Linked DNA regions of Bombyx mori. The protein of the gene in region 1 binds, or shares a complex with, the protein of each later gene. Links are inferred from orthologs where the notes say so. Each region holds a gene or a part of one and is shown in the gene's direction. Other genes may lie near its edges.

What was found.
Region 2: integrin beta subunit 1 (region 1) and LIM and senescent cell antigen-like-containing domain protein 1 share a complex: the UniProt entries of both Caenorhabditis elegans proteins name them as parts of the integrin containing attachment complex. The link is inferred for Bombyx mori from reciprocal best matches to the Caenorhabditis elegans genes pat-3 and unc-97.

What each region holds. Positions count from the first base shown.
Region 1 is NC_085116.1:9,296,164-9,300,458, forward strand, and holds the start of integrin beta subunit 1, read left to right. Parts: upstream 1-1,234; 5' UTR 1,235-1,414; intron 1,415-1,594; exon of another isoform or gene 1,595-1,646; intron 1,647-4,295. UniProt on the Caenorhabditis elegans protein: Integrin alpha ina-1/beta pat-3 is a receptor for laminin. Integrin alpha pat-2/beta pat-3 recognizes the sequence R-G-D in its ligands. Plays a role in cell migration, morphogenesis and probably in cell-cell interactions.
Region 2 is NC_085112.1:7,031,530-7,034,781, reverse strand, and holds the end of LIM and senescent cell antigen-like-containing domain protein 1, read left to right. Parts: coding exon 1-61; intron 62-888; coding exon 889-1,079; 3' UTR 1,080-2,441; downstream 2,442-3,252. UniProt on the Caenorhabditis elegans protein: Component of an integrin containing attachment complex, which is required for muscle development and maintenance. Probably function in adherens junction.

The sequences.
Region 1 (4,295 bases):
GGAAGCAGGTGTGGGCGCGGGTGCAGGGCGCTGAGGGCGCGCTCGCAGTGTGAACTCATAGATTATACACTTAAGGAACGTAGAGCTAGCATATTCTAGTGTGGACTGTAAAACTAGAAACATTTATTTAGAAACATTTTAGAATTAACTTATAAGCTATGATTGAGTATCGAAATGTATGAGGTAGGTATGTCAGCTGTCAAATCTGTTTGAAATCTTTATGTGCACAAGCATGTTAAAATGAAACAAAATTATTGGACTTGTTTCTTGGATTCTTCCAGACTCCAGTCCCGTCATTAAATTGGTACTCAATATCAAATTGACTATCTAACATATTGCTTGTTCCACTGTTTTTGATCAGCATGTTCATTTTATTCTAAGTTATTTAGTTTGCATGGCGTACGAGCATACAGCCCATCTGACGGCAATTAATCACCGTCACTTATGAGCGTCAGTAGCCTAGGTCACTTTCGAGTTACGGCTATGACTTTATTGTTAAAGACTCGATTTATAAAATTGATGACTATCTTTGGATCGTTGATGTGGTGCGCCCGGTCCTCGTGGACTGGGTAAACCACGACCAGCCATATCTCACCTTCCAGCTGATGGTGGCTAACTAGCAATAGGTATTTCGGCGAGTATCCACATAGAGCCATCCGAAGGAGATCGCAATGGAGTGCCGACATTGACTTTGCGATGAAGACAAGAAAGAGCACATGATCGCGGCGTGCCCGCCTGCGAAGAGCAGCATTGTGACCTCATCGCGTGTATAAGACCGGACTCTAAGAGGTGATTTCCTCGGATGAGGCCGTGTGACGTGCTACCGGTACTTTTACGCACCACACCATTTTGGCGAGTGCCCAGTTGCTGATGTTGCACATCTAGATCTATGTAATGTTGACCGCGGTATACTTTAATGTTAAGTCTGCAAGCTCAGGCCGTTTTCCAATTACAGCCCAAGAGCGCATTATGCGGCATAATGCTCAACTAAGCTTCAGCATAATTCGGCATTGTGCGTCACTGAGTCGCATTATGCTCTGTAATTAAACATTACTTAAGTAGTTTTCCAATTACAGAGCATAATGCGACTCAGTGACGCACAATGCCGAATTATGCTGAAGCTTAGTTGAGCATTATGCCGCATAATGCGCTCTTGGGCTGTAATTGGAAAACGGCCTGAGCTTGCAGAGCTAGAATCGATTCAAAGAGTCGAAGGACATCCCGAACTCTATTGATGAGCATAGACAATACTCAATACAGAGTTAAATAAAGAGCTATTAGGATTAGCGAATAGCGAGCGAGTGTCCGAAATAGAATATGTTGTGCCTTCCTATTGAAAATAAAATGCTTTCGATAGCTTAAAAAAGTTAATAGGGTTTGTTTACCAATGTATTTACGAACACATTTAAGACTGGTAAGTTGGAAGTGTTTTTCATGTTACAAACTTTAATGTTGAAACAATACAATCTTAATATTAGTCTTTAATAACTGGTTTTCTTATTTCGCGTAAATATTAAAGTTTTATACTAATTTCCGTTGGAGCAGTAACAAATTATTATCTAACACATAATTTTTATGTAGCATTTTATTCCAGCTCTCTATAAAAGGGGAATTTCACTATCAAAATATTTAGGTCACTACAAAAAGTAAGTAATGGGTCACTTGTTTACAAAGCTATCGTAGTAGAACATATTAAAGAGGGGATCGTAGTAGAACATATTAAAGAGGGGGTCTCAGTTACATACCGTCTGAAATCTGGAAGGTTGCTACCTTTCAGATTACCATAGTTATCAACTTCAAGTTTGATAGCTACTTCTATGCTATCCATTTATGTATGATAGACCAGATGTGCACTGCAGTTGCAACCACATTCAATTTTAATTCAGAAATAATGAAACATGTTGCACTTTCTTTGGATAAAGAGTTACTTGTATATGCAGTATCCTAAAATTTTCTATGAATTCATACAATTGAAAAGTTGGGGTGATTCTAGGATACCTAGAGCAGCTTCCTGAGATTTTAATATCATTAGCAAACTTGGATCACTCAAAATGATTTATAAGCAAAGCATTAGTTCACACTTTGGCCATTTCAAAATCTACTGGTTGCTACCAAACAGGTCATAGATAATGTATGATAATGCAAAATAATGATGATATGATAGTGAAAATAATGAGAGTATGAAGAGTGTAGCAATAATTGGTATTAGGAGATCAGTATGTTACCAAATGCTTTCCAAAACTTTTAATCCTGTGGGCAGTGATTAATTGACACTTGATCATAACACTAGTCAAACTAGTCAAACTAGAGTTATGGTGAGCGTCACATGTCAATACTCACATTGAACTCTGAAGTGTTTGCATTAGTCAGGTTCAGTTGAAGTAACTCATTCTCGTGTTAGGCCTTCATTATACTTATCACTTCAATCTGAAAAGTTTCGTTTTATTCTGAACTGATTTTGGCCAGTAGATTCTGCTTGCCAACTGAGAGGACTTCTCCCTAACATTGGAGTATATTACAACATACCCTGAGTCTACACAAAGTTATGCAGCTGCATCATTAGCAGGAATGGAGTGCATATGAAGAGTCCTACACTCACTCACACTCATTGGGTGGACACAGATTGAAGAAGGGATCATTTTCTGCATATAACCGCATTGATCATATCATAGCACTGTCAAAGCATTAGGGTTAATTGGAAAGTTCGGGTACTTGTATGAGTCCGTTATTGATTTTGGATAAAAAATTCTTATGCAATCAGGTGAGCTGCATCTCGGCCCTTTAAGAAATGGGTGGCTTTATTCTTGACCCGCACTGAAGTCGTGATCTCGGCTATTTATTGATTTTACGGCTGGTCTAGGGAATGTATAGGAGATATGCCCTGTCGTGACAAGCGTGTCCGGGCTCAAGTGTGATAAGGACACTGATGCTTCAAGCTCTGAAGCCCGTGCTGTAGTTCTTAGTACTGTTTTAGTAGTTAGCTGTGTAGTTGTAGTTGTGTCGATTGTCAATGTGATTGACACACATTACGGACTGTGGAGACGATACGCGATACGCTCTAACCTTGTGGAGTGGGTGAATCATAATAAAGAGTCCAGCTGAGGCAGGAGCGAATTAAGCGCGTACCTTAAACGTTTGTGGTTTTACGCATAAGACTACTGGGCGGAGCCAGTGTCTACTGCGACAATCGGTCAAATCCAATGTAGCTAGATGTAGCCAAGTACTATTTTTTAAGTAGGTACCGTTCCGTATTCATGATCGATGATATCTGTGATAATAAAATAATATCGTACTTGTAGGTACCACATCTTGCACATTTCTGTCGCAAATGGCAGCACTATATAATACATAGTACATAAAAACAATCGATATTTCAACCCCATGTCTGAAGGTGGGGTGAAATTAGCATTTTGATGTTTATCAAGTCGGTGGGATATATCTTGGAATTAGTTTTCGGTTAAACATAGATATTCTAAGTTTTTTTTTCACTATTAAGTAATGACCCGCGGTCAGGGTCATCCGTGGTTATCGCACTATCTCTTTTGAGGCGGCGTGTGTACTGGCTGGGACGCCGCCTTGGGTCCTGGAGGCGGAGGCGTTCGCCGCTGACTATCAGTGGAGGGCTAACTTGCGTGCCTGGGGCGTGGCGCGTCCCAGCCCCAGTGTGGTCAGAGCGCGGAGGGTCCAATCTCGGCGGTCCGTGCTGGAGTCATCCAGGCGGATGGCCGATCCTTCGTCGAGGCGATTCTTTTTTTTTTTTATTGCTTAGATGGATGGACGAGCTCACAGCCCACCTGGTTTTAAGTGGTTACTGGAGCCCATAGACATCTACTACGTAAATGCGCCACCCACCTCGAGATATAAGTTCTAAGATCTCAGTATAGTTACAACGGCTACCCCACCCTTCGAACCGAAACGCATTACTGCTTCACGGCGGAAATAGGCGGGGTGGTGGTACCTACCCGTGCGGACTCCCAAGAGGTCCTACCACCAGTGATTACGCAAATTATAATTTGGCGGGTCTGATTTTTATTACACGATGTTATTCTTTCACCGTGGAAGTCAATCGTGCACATTTGTTGAGTACTTATTTCTTTAGAAAAATTGGTACCCGCCTGCGGGATTCGAATACCAGTGCATCGCTACATACGAATGCACCGGACGTCTTATCCTTTAGGCCACAACGACTTCGCCCGGTTCTTGTGAATTGGGTGAATCGTGACAGAGGACGCCTCACTTTCCGGCTCACGCAGGTGCTCACTGGGCATGGTTGCTTCGGTGAGTTCCTGCACCGG
Region 2 (3,252 bases), on another chromosome or scaffold:
CATTATCACCAGTTGTTCGGCAATTTGTGCTACGTCTGTAATCAAGTTATCGCCGGCGACGGTAACTATTCGATTATTTCATTTAAAATTTAATGATTTCGGCATGTGATATGATGAGGTTTCATAATTGTCTGTATTGTATTGGTTTATCGTTTAAGTACACTGTTCTGCGTAATAAGTAAGTTGTGTTAATAAATATAATTTTTAATAAAGAAAACAATCGAAAATGGCCAAGTGGAGTACACGCAATAGTTAAATTTAATAAAAATCTTTGTTTTTTAACTAAGTTTAATAATGCTTTAATATCGTGCGGGCTAATACTGGAAAAAGCCTACTGAGTTTCTCGTCGGATCTTCTCAGTGGGTCGCGATTCCGATCCGGTGGTAGATTTTGCGAAGCAACGTCGTCAGGTTAGAGCACCTATTCGCACAGTTAAGTTGACATAACCTCACGAGATTACCAGCATAAGTGGTAAAAGAACGGGAAAGATTTCTACACATAGCTGTTGCACAAAATAAGTTCTGAACACAATATTTGTGTTATTGGTTAATAATCATAAACGTTTTTATAATATCACAATTCACTTAAAAACTAATTATATTCAGTGTGATTTGAAATTATATCTTGCTTATTTAGCTGATTTTTTTATATTATCGAATGAATATATTCTTAACTTCTTAAAAATTTGTGTGCTAGTATGTATTATAATTATGAAGGTTTTAATGTGAATATAATATAGGTTATATATCACAAGTAACATGTTACACATAATATGTAACTTATTGTGTTGTACTGCTGATTGCTACTTCAATAACACAAACTGGTCGAATCAAAAATATCTATTTAATTTACCATTTTTTTTCTTAATAACTGTAATTTTATTCGTAGTATTCACCGCATTGAACAAGGCTTGGTGCGTACATCATTTTGCGTGTTCCGTTTGCGATGCGCCGCTGAGCACGCGTAGCAAGTTCTACGAATACGACGAGAGGCCCGCCTGTAGACGCTGCTACGAGAAGTTCCCGGCTGAACTACGACGTCGGCTACGTCGGGCTCATCACTACACGGTCCGCCGTTAACGAAAAATACAAGGAATAAACGACATTAATCTGTCTATACCAGTGGTGGGCAAACATTTTTAATGGCGGCCACAATGTTTAGGAAATACTAGAGGAGGGCCAGAATTATAGAAAAATGTTTTTTTTTCTCCAATAAATGAGATAATGAAAGCTCCAATTCGTCAGGGGTGTTTTGAGGGGAGTTTTGAAAAATTCGAAGATTTTCAATTATAAACGTCAGATTTTATTTTACGCGCCAAACTGCCGACTAGAATATTTGGGACGGACGGACTCTCGGCGGGCCGGATTAAAATACTTCCGCGGGTCGTACTTTGCCCATCACTGGTCTATACTATACTAAACCACTATACCACAGTAATGTCGGTGTTCACATTTTTTTAACATAATTAACTAACAAATTTAAAAATATAATAAATGTAGTATGCACTTGCCATTTGTGCCTTGAAGTACCTACTATGTAACAACTAAACTTATTAATGTAATATATTAAGTGTAAAATGTAATAATTAATTATTTTATACCATACAAAATATAATGATTATGAATGTTGTCTTTACTCGCACTGATCATTGACGCGTTCGCTATTTTGTTCAAGTGCAATGGATTTATTTATTGATTTGACTCCTTTAAAAATATTATTTTGAAGTCGCTCTTATCTATTTACGACCAGATGAGCTATAAGTCAATTTAACTCTATTGGCAATAAAAATGTATCTGTTGAATGTGCTTGTAAACTATGTTTTGAATTAAGTCAAAATATCAGTTTGGTCACGTGAACCTGAATTTAAAAGCACAAAATATAAACGTAGAACTATTTCTAAGTTAACTATTTATATTAATGAACTCAAAAGGCTTGGCTTCATAAGCCAAAACGGAAACAAATCTGTAGATATTGTACACTATATGAAGATTATTAATATAAATTTTCGATGATTTTTATAAACCAATTGAACTGAATATTACAGCAAATGTGTGGTCAAAATGACGAATTTGGATCTAATTATTTTTTAATATTAATTATATAAGATTATCTTAGCCAGGGACAATGACAGTGACAATCAGACCGATATAAATGATATTTGAAAAACCCTCTGAAATGATAAATATATTTCAAAAAATTATATTCATTCCATTTTGAAGAATGCTACTTTTGACTATAATATGCTACTGCATTGTATATTAATGTCACGTTTTTAGCATGCCTTACATTAGACGAAAATTATGATTTAAAAGAAAAAAGAAAACTTGTTTCGCACCCTTTGTAATATTGTTTTTAACCCTTTTAATGTATAATACAGATATTTTATAATTTAATTTAGATCTAAATATTTATGTAACACCAAATAAAGTTTTTTACTAACACGTTATTCTTTTGATTATTGTACAATGCACGGGATTAGGGTTTCGTCAAGTTACCAAATACAAAATCAAAATTTTGGGAAGTTTTGATTTTAAGATTCTAATTTGTAATTTATTTTGTTATAGACAGCGTGTTTAGTGCGACTTTTTTAACGTTCTCGCATGTAATTAGTATGGAGTTGGAACGTTTGTCCCTAGCGGCAAATTTATGTTACCTTTTACGCTATCGAGAACGTTAAAACACTCGCATTAAGCACATAGATAGGCTATATTGTCATTTTATAAGTGGTCGTTGTTGCTCATGAACATCAGCAAACAAAAGGGTAATAATAAAAATAAAATCATTTATTGTCTTTCACATTAAATAGAATAAAATACAAGAAAAATAAAAATTAAAAAAAAGACAAAAGGAGGTGGCTCAGCTAAGGCTGTTCAAGGTCGATAAATCGAACAGCGCTGATTATCCACAATACGAGGTTCTTTATTTTAAGCTATTGCATAGCTTTTTTTAATGTTTAATATGGCGTGGTCTTGTTTTAATATTAAATTATAATTGCATAAGTTGATAAAAAATGCATACCGCGGCAGTTCCCCAGTGCCACACGTTTGTTTTTTTTTTATTGCTTAGATTGGTGGACGAGCTCATAGCCCACCTAGTGTTAAGTGGTTACTAGAGCACATAGACATCTAAAACGTAAATGTGCCACCCACCTTGAGATATAAATTCTAAGGTCTCAGTATAGTTACAACGGCTACTCCACCCTTCAAACCGAAACGCATTACTGTTTCACGGCAGAAATAGACGAGGTGGTGG